Saccharomyces cerevisiae S288C: one gene and its partners. The protein of the gene in region 2 purifies or fractionates together with the protein of the main gene of each other region. This does not show direct contact. Each region holds a gene or a part of one and is shown on either strand. Other genes may lie near its edges. The genes, in order: IML3, MCM16, CNN1 and AME1.

The links.
Region 1: the proteins of MCM16 (region 2) and IML3 purify together in Saccharomyces cerevisiae (affinity purification with mass spectrometry; 3 studies listed by BioGRID). This does not show direct contact.
Region 3: the proteins of MCM16 (region 2) and CNN1 purify together in Saccharomyces cerevisiae (affinity purification with mass spectrometry; 3 studies listed by BioGRID, with this or other methods). This does not show direct contact.
Region 4: the proteins of MCM16 (region 2) and AME1 purify together in Saccharomyces cerevisiae (affinity purification with mass spectrometry; 6 studies listed by BioGRID, with this or other methods). This does not show direct contact.

The regions. Positions count from the first base shown.
Region 1 is NC_001134.8:453,293-456,417, forward strand, and holds IML3 (Iml3p), read right to left. Parts: upstream 1,239-3,125; coding exon 501-1,238; downstream 1-500. Other genes in the region: AIM3 (Aim3p), read left to right, coding at 1,530-3,125. UniProt on the Saccharomyces cerevisiae protein: Component of the kinetochore, a multiprotein complex that assembles on centromeric DNA and attaches chromosomes to spindle microtubules, mediating chromosome segregation and sister chromatid segregation during meiosis and mitosis.
Region 2 is NC_001148.4:655,052-657,844, reverse strand, and holds MCM16 (Mcm16p), read right to left. Parts: upstream 1,047-2,793; coding exon 501-1,046; downstream 1-500. Other genes in the region: MSF1 (phenylalanine--tRNA ligase), read right to left, coding at 1-316; THP3 (Thp3p), read left to right, coding at 1,293-2,705. UniProt on the Saccharomyces cerevisiae protein: Component of the kinetochore, a multiprotein complex that assembles on centromeric DNA and attaches chromosomes to spindle microtubules, mediating chromosome segregation and sister chromatid segregation during meiosis and mitosis.
Region 3 is NC_001138.5:242,574-245,763, reverse strand, and holds CNN1 (centromere-binding protein CNN1), read left to right. Parts: upstream 1-1,604; coding exon 1,605-2,690; downstream 2,691-3,190. Other genes in the region: BNA6 (nicotinate-nucleotide diphosphorylase (carboxylating)), read left to right, coding at 598-1,485; MRX20 (Mrx20p), read right to left, coding at 2,765-3,190. UniProt on the Saccharomyces cerevisiae protein: Component of the kinetochore, a multiprotein complex that assembles on centromeric DNA and attaches chromosomes to spindle microtubules, mediating chromosome segregation and sister chromatid segregation during meiosis and mitosis.
Region 4 is NC_001134.8:645,658-648,787, forward strand, and holds AME1 (Ame1p), read right to left. Parts: upstream 1,476-3,130; coding exon 501-1,475; downstream 1-500. Other genes in the region: ERV15 (Erv15p), read left to right, coding at 1-321; NGR1 (Ngr1p), read left to right, coding at 2,229-3,130.

The DNA of each region.
Region 1 (3,125 bases), on a different chromosome or scaffold from region 2:
GCAGTTGCTGCAGTGTTATAAGAAAAATAGAATGAAATAAGATAAAGCTAGACGAATTGTGTCTATTTTCCTACATCGCCATAGAATTGCTTTTTTTTTCTTGATTAGATGAAATGAAAACAAGGAACTCTATTTGTTTTCATTTTGTTGGGCTTATCATGTAAAGAAAAATGAGTCGTGTCCTCTTTTTCCTCGTGCTTGTATGACTGCCGCACTTTCCGCTAAGTGCGCTCGTCTATATGATTTTATGCAAATATATACTGAAAGTTCAACAAAATTAAACTATGTGAACATTAGTTCATAGCAGCCATTGGCCCGTTGTGTCGGGATCTCTACACTAAATTGTAATGTCTCTGGGATTTTGTGGGGTGTCATTGCAGATATGACGAACCGGATATTACTGATAATGACGATGATTCATGAAGGTCTTCAGGTTCATATGTACAAAAAAGGTAGAGCTGTGGTTTTTTATTGTATCTTGGTGAATATTCTTTATAGTGTTACTCGCTGGTAAACTGAATCGATTGGAGTACAACTGCTAGAACTCTGTTCCTGAGACTTCGTGTTGAAGTGACAATGGATTCTCTCATTATTTTCGTGTGCCCTGCCAATATGACGGAAGTCAACGGTAATCTTTCCACCGCCATCCCCGTTTCATTATAAATGTAGGGTACAATTGCATCGTTATACGGGTGCATAGTATTACCATAGCCAAGAGCCAAACCCTCACAGCTTTCTCTCGGTATTTCTATACTGAATTGCCGCAAGTTTTTGTCTTGTGTTTCTGGTTCAAAATATAACTTTGAGCTAAACCAGGTAATTTGTTCGATGTTCTCTTTCGTTACGTGCACAATGCTGGCGTCAGCTAACTTTATCATGGTCTTCTGTTCAAATTTTATCGGCCACATAATGACACCGTACTCTGCCTTCAGCCACTGCAATACCACTTCATTGCGGTTATCTGTCCCGCAATAGCACAAAAACATCGGCACCTCCATTTTTGAGTTCCCCAAGAAAATGAACTTAGAGTAAGTGCCCTCATCTAAATTAGAGATGTCCAACCTCATTTCGTAACGGATATACTCGTCAGCGGCGGTACCACCATCAGGATCACTGGGTACTCGAATGGTTTGAATGTCTAAATCTACTTCCAGGTTTAGCAATTGGTTCAACTTTGCTATACCATTTTCCAGTGAAAGTTGCTTGCTGATTCCTAAAAACTTCCAAGTATAAGGCATTCCATCCAAAGGAAGTACGTTGATACCTATAGACAATCAAATCAACCATGCAGTCGACCAGATCATCCCACTATGGTTGTTGTCTATTTCATATCGGTGTCGGCATTTTTTTTTCCCGTAGTACCACTGGATCTGCCTAAATCGCGCTTCAGGAAAACCAGGGACCACCCTATTTTTTTATATTTCATCATCTAAATTAAGTGTATACATATATGGATAAAGTCATTTTGAGTTTACATAATCGTATGTTCGAGAGAGGTCTTTCATAAAAAAATCAAGTTATCAACCAGCATGGGATTTTGGGAGAACAACAAAGATTCCATCACTTCAGGGCTGAAGAGCGCCGGTAAATATGGTTACCAAGGAACAAAGTACGTTGCCAAGACAGGGTATAAGGCAAGTAAGAAGCACTATAACAACAGCAAAGCGCGTAGGGAAAGGAAGAGTGGTAAGAAAAATTCAAGTGATGAGGAGTATGATAGCGAAGATGAGATGGAGTACGAAAGAAAGCCGACCGATATAAGAAGTTTAAAAGACCCAAAGTCCTTTCCTCCCCCACCTTTGAAACCTGGACAAAAAACTTATACAGGACAACAGCAACAGCAAATGCCAAATGGTCAGGCCAGTTATGCTTTTCAGGGTGCATACCAAGGCCAACCTGGCGCAGGATCGACGGAACAGTCACAATACGCACAACCACAGTATAATCAGTATCCACAACAGCAGCTGCAACAAGGTGTAATGCCACAGCAACAGCAGCTGCAACAAGGTGTAGTGCCACAGCAGCCGCCTATATATGGAGAGCAAGTACCACCGTATGGGTCAAATTCTAATGCAACCAGCTACCAGTCGCTGCCGCAACAAAATCAACCCCAAAATGCAATTCCAAGTCAGGTATCTCTGAACTCTGCTTCTCAGCAAAGCACAGGGTTTGTCTCGCAAAATCTGCAATATGGTACCCAATCAAGTAATCCGGCACCATCACCGTCTTTCCAGAACGGTCTTCAGTGTCATCAGCAGCCGCAATACGTATCACATGGCTCAACCAATCTCGGACAATCCCAATTTCCATCGGGCCAACAGCAGCAGCCCACGACACAGTTTGGCCAGCAAGTTTTACCATCACCTGCACAACCACAACAGCAACAACAAGGGCAACCATTACCGCCCCCGCGCGGTCAAGTGATCTTGCCAGCGCCCGGAGAGCCTCTGTCAAATGGCTTTGGGCAACAGCAACAGCAACAGCAACAGCAACAGCAGCCTCTGAACCAAAACAACGCTTTGTTGCCACAAATGAACGTGGAAGGAGTTTCTGGGATGGCTGCGGTTCAGCCTGTCTATGGCCAAGCCATGTCAAGTACTACAAACATGCAAGATTCGAACCCCAGCTATGGAGCTTCACCCATGCAAGGTCAGCCTCCAGTCGGTGGACAACCGCCTGTGCCTGTAAGAATGCAGCCACAGCCACCGCAACCAATGCAACAGGGAAACATCTATCCGATTGAGCCTTCTCTTGATTCTACTGGCTCAACCCCACATTTTGAAGTTACTCCATTTGACCCAGACGCACCTGCTCCGAAGCCCAAAATCGATATTCCCACTGTAGACGTTAGTAGCCTTCCACCACCTCCCACTCATAGGGATAGAGGAGCAGTTGTACACCAGGAACCTGCGCCAAGTGGGAAAATACAGCCTAACACAACCTCTTCGGCGGCTTCATTGCCAGCAAAGCATTCAAGAACTACTACTGCAGACAATGAAAGGAACTCTGGAAACAAAGAAAACGATGAAAGTACCTCCAAGTCGTCCATTTTAGGACATTATGATGTAGATGTCAACATCATGCCACCTCCAAAACCTTTCAGACATGGACTTGATTCTGTACCT
Region 2 (2,793 bases):
CAGGATGATCCTTAGGAAACCCTAAAGAATCGAAGTTTTCCATTGTGGTTACCACGGGCTTGAAATTATTAAAGATCTTAAATGTGTTGTCGACTGAGTTTAATTTCTTTTCAATTAGATCGCGAAGAATGCCTACTGGATGTGATTCTTTCAAATGTAATGATCTGTCGGTAAGCTTTATTATTGAATCTGTAACATTGGTAGTCTGTGGGTCGGTCTTGTATTTTATGCCATTGATTTCTACATGTGGAACTTTAAGGGTTGAATATAAGCGATAAAGACCAGTCCTGGTCTTCATCATTCTATTGAGAAACATTGAAGTTACCTCCATTGGCAGATATTTTTTTATCCCTTCTCTCTCTCTGAATTTGTGAGTAGTTCCTTAATTTTCCTACCTTTTTTTTTTCTCGAAGATTCAAACCTTAATTAAGTAACTATTATTATTAGCGTTGTCAGTATTAAAATTATTTGAATATATAAATAGCATTAGAAGATAAAAATCAAATTGTGTAGGATATGTTTGTATATCCGGAGTGTATCTGTAAAGCAATCATCAATTCTTGTATCGTTTCATTTTCCTTTTCTACCTCAACCTGTTTTCCAGCAGTATCACTGTCGTCTGGCGGTATAGTTGGTTTGGGAAACTTCGACGATAACTCAATCAGTTTTGACATCAATTCGTCGCGTTCTGCTCTTGATTCAATCAACTGTTTGTGCAATGAAGATTGAGCACCTAACGATTGCAAGAGCTCATAGTCCAGAGAATTGCTTTCTTCTAAGAGGTTTTGTAGCTTGGTGAATAATACATTGGTATTGTCCGGTTTCTCCAACAGTCTAATAAGAAGAGCAGTCTTTTCAAGATTAATTTGAAGTTGGTGTCTAATTTCCAAGAGGCGCTGTTGAGTATGGCTTAATATTACCGCATGATTGTGTTTTCTAATCAAGTACAACCTGTCCAACGTGATCAACAACTCTCTATATACCTCCACGTGCTCCTTTTCTAATTGCTGGATTCTTTCCCATTGTTTTTCACTACTGTTTGTCATCTGTCAAAATGGTATGAACTCCCCACGACAGGAAGAAATGGTTAGAAGTATCTAGATATTGCACACTGTATGTGATGACGGCTATCATTTATTGTCAACATGCATCATCCTTCACGGTTTGGAATTTTTGAGTAAAAAAGGACTGAACATGACAAAAAATAGAGATTTGGCTGTCTCGTAAAGAAACCATAGAATACAAGGAGTAGGAACCGTTCGGCAGCGAGTAGTTGAGTTTCCAATAACATTATGCAGAATCCTTACGGTCACTTTACTAACAATACCACGGAGGACAGGGAAGCTTCATCTCAAGGAGGACCATTCGGCCAAAGCCTGAATAGGCCCCTAGATTACGCCGGATCTTTCCCTTCTCTGACATACAATAATAATAATTTCATTGCCAATCAACAACCTTCTCTGCCTTTGCCAGAACCACGTTTATCTTGGAACAACGTCAACCAGGTTTCTAACCCTTTGATGGTAACACCGCTTCCGGGATTACAAAAACGTATGAACAAAAACATTAAAAAGAAATTACCAAGAGTATCTAAGAAGGCATCAGCCCTTTCTAACGGGGTATCCGGCAATGTAATGAGCAACAGTAATATAGTAGGGCATGGTGCTGTAGGTTCGGCATCGGGATGGAAAGTTGAAATGGGTGGCAGTGATGAATTAGAGAGAAGAAAGAGAAGGGCAGAAAGATTCAGTCAGGGACCATCAGCGACGACGAATAGTAACGATAATTTGAATGAAGACTTTGCCAACCTAAATGCCATTAGTAGCAAATCTCATCAATATGACAAAAAGATTCATGTGGTAGGGCGTTGCCAAACTCTAGAGAAATCTTATCTGAGACTAACTTCAGAGCCTAATCCTGACTTGATCAGACCCCCAAATATTCTACAAAAAATGTATTGCTTGTTAATGGACAAATACCAATCTAAAACAGCCACTTATACTTACCTTTGCGACCAGTTTAAATCAATGAGACAAGACCTAAGAGTGCAAATGATCGAGAACTCTTTCACTATTAAAGTGTACCAAACGCATGCACGTATTGCCTTGGAGAACGGAGATCTTGGGGAATTTAATCAATGTCAAAATAGGATTATGGCGTTATTCGAAAACCCTACAATACCAAAAAAATCTTATTCCGAATTTATATGCTATTCTGTTTTGTATTCGATGTTAACCGAAGACTATCCGTCGATTTCTCATTTAAAACTTAAGTTAATAGACGATGGCTCTTCGGAAATCTTGGAGGACGAACATGTCAAAATGATATTTGAGTTGAGCGATATGAAACTAGTCGGCAATTATCACTACTTCATGAAAAACTACCTAAAACTGCACAAATTTGAAAAATGTCTAATTAATTCATTCTTAAATCTAGAAAAGTTGATATTTTTGACCATAATTTGTAAGAGTTATAACCAGGTCAATTTAGATTTTGTTAAAAGTGAGTTTAATTTCAACAGTATAGAAGAGACAACAAATTTCTTGAATGAGCAAAACTTGACGGAGTTCATATTAAACAAACAAATCACTGACAGTAATGGCAAAAGTAGTAATATCAAGATTTTGAATACCAAGGGATGTAGGGTACAGTTGATACAAAATTATATGAAGTCTAAAAAAATTGATATAAAGGGACAAAAATGATGAAGAGGGAAACGGGATGCCTAAGGTATATGATTTTGGTTTTTTTTTTTTTTTTTTTTTCTAAATAAATATATACATATTCACAACA
Region 3 (3,190 bases), on a different chromosome or scaffold from region 2:
GTTCTTGTGAGAATAAACTTGTCTACTAATCGCAAATTTTTCAAGATTAACCTTCCGCACCCATTGAGGTACTAAACTGATCTACCCTACCTTTCCTAAATACCTAATGTCAGGTACATAATGCCAGCGACAGCTCAAAATCACGGGATACTAATTATTAAATAGTAGTAGCTTCTTCTCCACGCACAGTTCGATCGAAGGAGCTAATATTCGGCTTGTCATCTTCCATGGCCAGTAATTTTTTTTATTGTCATTTGGGACTAATGAGATGGAAACTAGAATTGTAGTTATACATCCTGAGGTTTCTATCAACTTGTGTGTCACAACGTTTTATATACTTGAATGCGTAGTAGCAAACCCCGGCAAGACGTAAGTTAACTTGTCAAAGGTACAAGCTTGGTTACAAACAATGTGATATTTCGCTCCAGGATATTTTTGCTTTTGGTGACGCCGGTTGGTTGAAGAGCCCCCATTTATCATGACTCCTACCGCAGTTTTCGTATATCTTGGGCCATAAATTCGAAAATTAAAGACACCACTTAATAACGCAACAAAAAGAACGCAATCCTCAGAAAGAACACACACCAAAAAAAAAAAATGCCTGTTTATGAACACTTATTGCCCGTTAATGGAGCATGGAGACAAGACGTCACCAATTGGCTGAGCGAGGACGTTCCTTCTTTTGATTTTGGTGGATATGTTGTTGGTTCCGACCTAAAGGAGGCCAATTTGTACTGTAAGCAGGATGGTATGCTGTGTGGTGTCCCCTTTGCGCAAGAAGTCTTTAATCAGTGCGAATTGCAAGTTGAGTGGTTGTTTAAGGAAGGCTCCTTCTTGGAGCCTTCGAAGAATGACTCTGGTAAGATTGTTGTAGCTAAAATTACTGGGCCCGCTAAAAACATTCTATTAGCTGAAAGAACCGCCTTGAACATCCTTAGTAGAAGTAGTGGAATTGCCACCGCCTCACATAAGATAATCAGTTTGGCGCGTTCGACTGGTTACAAGGGGACCATTGCGGGGACAAGAAAGACTACACCAGGTTTACGTAGATTAGAAAAGTATTCCATGCTTGTAGGTGGCTGCGACACGCACAGATACGACCTTTCCTCTATGGTCATGCTCAAAGATAATCATATTTGGGCTACTGGTTCTATAACAAACGCAGTTAAGAACGCCAGGGCCGTGTGCGGGTTTGCTGTGAAGATCGAAGTGGAGTGTTTGAGTGAAGATGAAGCCACAGAGGCCATTGAAGCTGGTGCAGACGTTATCATGTTGGATAATTTCAAAGGTGACGGTTTGAAAATGTGCGCCCAAAGTCTTAAGAACAAATGGAATGGTAAAAAGCATTTCCTCTTGGAATGTAGTGGAGGCTTGAATTTGGACAACCTCGAGGAGTATTTGTGCGATGACATTGACATTTACAGCACTAGTAGCATTCATCAAGGCACACCAGTGATTGATTTCTCATTGAAACTGGCTCATTGAAAATGCTTAGGCTTCGATTTTTACTTTTTTTTATTTACATATTCTAAATAAGATTAAGAAGCTACGCGTTACCGATTAATGACACACACGACGATTAGTAACGAAATAAGAAATGAATAATGAGCACTCCCAGGAAGGCCGCCGGTAACAACGAGAATACAGAAGTCTCAGAGATCAGAACCCCCTTTCGGGAGAGAGCCCTTGAAGAACAACGTCTCAAGGATGAGGTACTGATCAGAAATACGCCAGGTTATAGAAAACTTTTATCTGCTTCTACTAAGTCTCATGACATCCTCAATAAAGATCCGAACGAAGTACGAAGTTTTTTACAAGACTTAAGCCAAGTGTTAGCACGCAAATCACAAGGCAACGATACAACTACTAATAAAACTCAAGCACGGAATCTAATAGATGAATTAGCGTACGAAGAGAGCCAACCAGAGGAGAATGAGCTTCTTCGGAGCAGAAGTGAGAAACTGACAGATAACAACATTGGCAATGAAACGCAACCTGATTATACTTCCTTATCGCAAACAGTATTTGCAAAATTGCAGGAAAGAGACAAAGGCTTGAAAAGTAGGAAGATTGACCCGATAATAATACAAGATGTTCCCACGACAGGACACGAGGATGAATTGACAGTGCACTCTCCAGATAAAGCTAACAGTATCTCTATGGAAGTTTTGCGCACGTCGCCAAGCATTGGAATGGATCAGGTAGATGAACCGCCAGTACGTGATCCGGTACCAATTTCCATAACGCAACAGGAAGAACCACTATCTGAAGATTTACCAAGCGACGATAAAGAGGAGACAGAAGAAGCAGAAAACGAAGATTATTCGTTTGAAAACACCAGTGACGAAAATTTGGATGATATAGGCAACGATCCTATCCGTTTAAATGTCCCTGCGGTGAGACGTTCTTCTATAAAACCGCTGCAAATAATGGATCTAAAACATCTTACAAGGCAATTTTTGAATGAGAATAGGATAATATTGCCGAAACAAACGTGGTCTACTATACAGGAGGAATCTTTAAATATAATGGATTTCTTGAAACAAAAAATCGGCACGTTACAAAAACAGGAATTGGTAGATTCGTTTATCGATATGGGTATTATCAATAACGTTGATGATATGTTTGAGCTCGCGCACGAATTGCTTCCCTTAGAACTTCAATCAAGAATTGAAAGTTATTTGTTCTAAAAAAGATACCGTAGAGAAAATAATTAAATAGTGGCAATTTATGTACAGAAAAGAGTAAAAGATCCACAAAATTATCAAGACCTGGAAGAGAAGCCTAGTAACAAACTAACCTGTTCATAAACAGTGAACGTTAAGCCTCCTGAAATACCGACTTTCATAAACCTAAAGATGGAGCCCTTCCAGAATGTGGCCATGCCTTCTTGAACAAATATTCTATACATGCAATTTAAGGTATTTTTATATTCAGTTTTGGCATTTTGACTCATCATCCTTGTTTTTACGACGTCAATGGGCTGAGTCATTGCCACGAGTGTAAAAGATGTGGCTAACCCCGTTATTACTGAGGATGCCTTGTCGTTTCTTGCTTGTAACAACCGTTTAAATGCTGTGTATGCAGTAAATTGAATAGAGGTGTTAGCTATCTGCCTAAATATGGTGGCTGTTGTTCCCTGGACGAACGCAGCAGGGCCTCTTGTTTGATACATGTGTTTTACCGCTGG
Region 4 (3,130 bases), on a different chromosome or scaffold from region 2:
TATATCAACTCAATCGAACTGTGTAAGAGGGTGAATAGGTTGAGTGTACCAGAGGCAATTCTACAAGCTTTCATTTCTGCATTGTTTCTTTTTAACGGGTACTGGTTCGTATTTCTCTTGAATGTCCCTGTTCTAGCATATAACGCAAGTAAAGTCTACAAGAAAACACATCTACTGGACGCCACGGATATTTTCAGAAAATTGGGTAGATGCAAAATTGAATGCTTTTTAAAATTGGGATTTTACCTTCTCATATTCTTTTTCTACTTCTACAGAATGGTCACAGCGTTACTTGAAAATGATGCAAATTTGATAAGCTAATAGCGACAACAGGAAAAAAAAAGAGAGATTTGTGCATATCTATGAAGTATGTCTACCACATAAAAATGACCTTATAACACAACTTCCTTAGTATGGAAGTAATACATATATACATATATACATATATACATACATATATATATATATATATATATATATACATCTTTTGAACCAATTCCCTATAGACTTGGTTGTAATTCGTTAGAAAGATTTTCATTAATTTTATTTATCTTTTTCAGAAGTCCGTTATATGGATCCATCAAGTCTACGAAATGTGCAATATCCAGAATATTTGAGTCATCCCGTATTGAATCGTCCTCGCTATCTTGGCTCATAATTTTGCGATCTCCCTCGTATTTGCCTAGCAAAGTAGAAGTCAAATCATTTAGCCTCTTATTTAGCTTCACTTTGTCGTTCAGTTTGGCTTGTTCATTTTGTAAGTCATGCCAGTCTTTACCGGCTTTCAACTCTTGAATTTCATTTCGTACCGATATTATCTGCTGGTTCAAATCTTCTTTTCGAGCAAGTACCTGCTTCAGTTGGTAGCAGAGCTCATTATTCGACACGTTGATATCTAATATGTCTTTCAAGTCTCTGGTCATTTGGTCTGATATCGTTTGAAAGAGTCGCAGATCTAATTTGTACAATAGTTTCCTAAATTGATCATCATCACTTTTATTGAAATCCTTCAAAGCTTGCGGAATCAAATCATTTTCAAATAAGTTTATGAATAAAGAAGATAAAACATCAATTGTGGTCACAGAAGTGATAGACGATGATAGCTGTCTAATGGGTATATCATCGAAATTGTAACGAGTAGTAAGGTCTTCATCATTTCTAACATTTTGCGGCGATTCGCTTATAAGACTTTTATTTTCAGAGTCGATCATGGGATAGTCTTCTGCATCCAAGGGCTGATACCCATGTTCATGACGGTCCTGCGCATTTACGTTATTAGTGGTAATAGGAAACTCGAAAGAATTCGCAAGTTTTGGTGAAGACAAAATGGGTTGAACAGGAGATTGAATAGGTGAGTTCTCCTCTCTATAAACAGCATTTGGCGTCTTAAATACAATAACATCATCATCTATATCGTCTGTCCTTCTTGAATGACTGCCCCTCAGCCTAAAAGCTAATTTAGTGTCTCTATCCATACTGAGGTTTTTCTTTAAATGAACACGCAAATAGTCAAGACAATACAGAGCAACACAGGACACGTAAAAAAATGAGAGCAATCGCTTCTTATACTGCAACGATGTTGACCCTTGCCATAATAGCTAATGAAATCAATCATTATCATTTCTACTAGTCCTTTAACAATATTTGGATACACCATTAAATTTCTCCGTACAACACGATAAAATATTTTCTACCAGCTTCAAACGGCTGTGAAGGGGCGATAGTGCCGTTCCAAAAAGCGTTCCCCAAACTTGTATTCAAGACCAAATCTTAGTCAAGCAAGCAGTTTCGCACCTTCATACACTCCATTAAAAGTGAAAATAAGCATATTTGTAATTAAATCTGGTTATCATACCCTGTTCCCTTTAGAACCAATATACATAGACGCAGTCGACAAAGAAGCAATAAAAGAGATTACCATTCTTATTCACTATTTTTTTTTTTCTCTGACTCTTCATAGTTGTACGGAAAACCATCTGCGTGTTATATCCTAGTTCCAAATATTCTGATTTCTCGTGATCGAATCTGTTATATTGTCATATATTGTAATTCCATTTTTTTCCCGGTTCATTTTTTGATATTCTCTTCCTGTTCCAATATTAATAAAGGAGGCTTTTTTCTTTCCCTTTCGTTCTGATTTATATTGTTTTTACTATTATTGGATCTTTTAAATATTACAGCTTTTTCATATCCTTCGCCATCGATTTTTGCCTGAAAAATTTACACAAATGATGTCTAACGTTGCTAACGCCTCCCAAAGACAGGAAAATCCATATATTATTCCATTGCCTCCTTCATCCACAGTGGAAACTTCTACTGAACCCCCAAGAACGTTATGGATGGGAGATTTGGATCCGTCCTTCGACGAGGCCACGATTGAGGAGATATGGTCAAAACTGGATAAAAAAGTTATCGTTAAACTAATTAGAGCCAAAAAAAATTTGTTGATTCCTTGTAGCTCCACCTCAAGTAGTAATAACAACACAAGTGAGGAGAATGCTGAAAACCAGCAATCTGCATCAAACAGCACTGATCAGTTAGATAATTCCCAAATGATTAATATTAATGGAATATCCTTCATTGATCCTTCCACTACTCAATTACATCATGCCGGATACTGTTTTGTCGAATTTGAAACTCAAAAGGACGCTAAATTTGCCCTGTCATTAAATGCTACACCTTTACCTAATTTTTATTCCCCAACAACTAACTCCCAAACTAATCCAACGTTCAAAAGGACTTTCAGATTGAATTGGGCGTCTGGAGCTACTTTACAAAGTTCTATACCATCTACCCCAGAATTTTCCTTGTTTGTTGGTGATCTTTCTCCCACCGCCACTGAAGCTGATTTGTTATCTCTTTTCCAAACGAGGTTCAAATCTGTTAAAACCGTCCGCGTGATGACTGACCCTTTAACAGGATCATCTCGTTGTTTTGGATTTGTCAGATTCGGTGATGAAGATGAGCGCCGCAGGGCACTGATTGAGATGAGTGGGAAATGGTTTCAAGGAAGGGCCTTAAGAGTCGCTTATGCCACGCCAAGAAATAATATGATGCTGCAGTTACAGGAACAACAACAACAGCAACAACAATTGCAGCAACAGCATCAGCAGCTAGATCAGGAGGATAA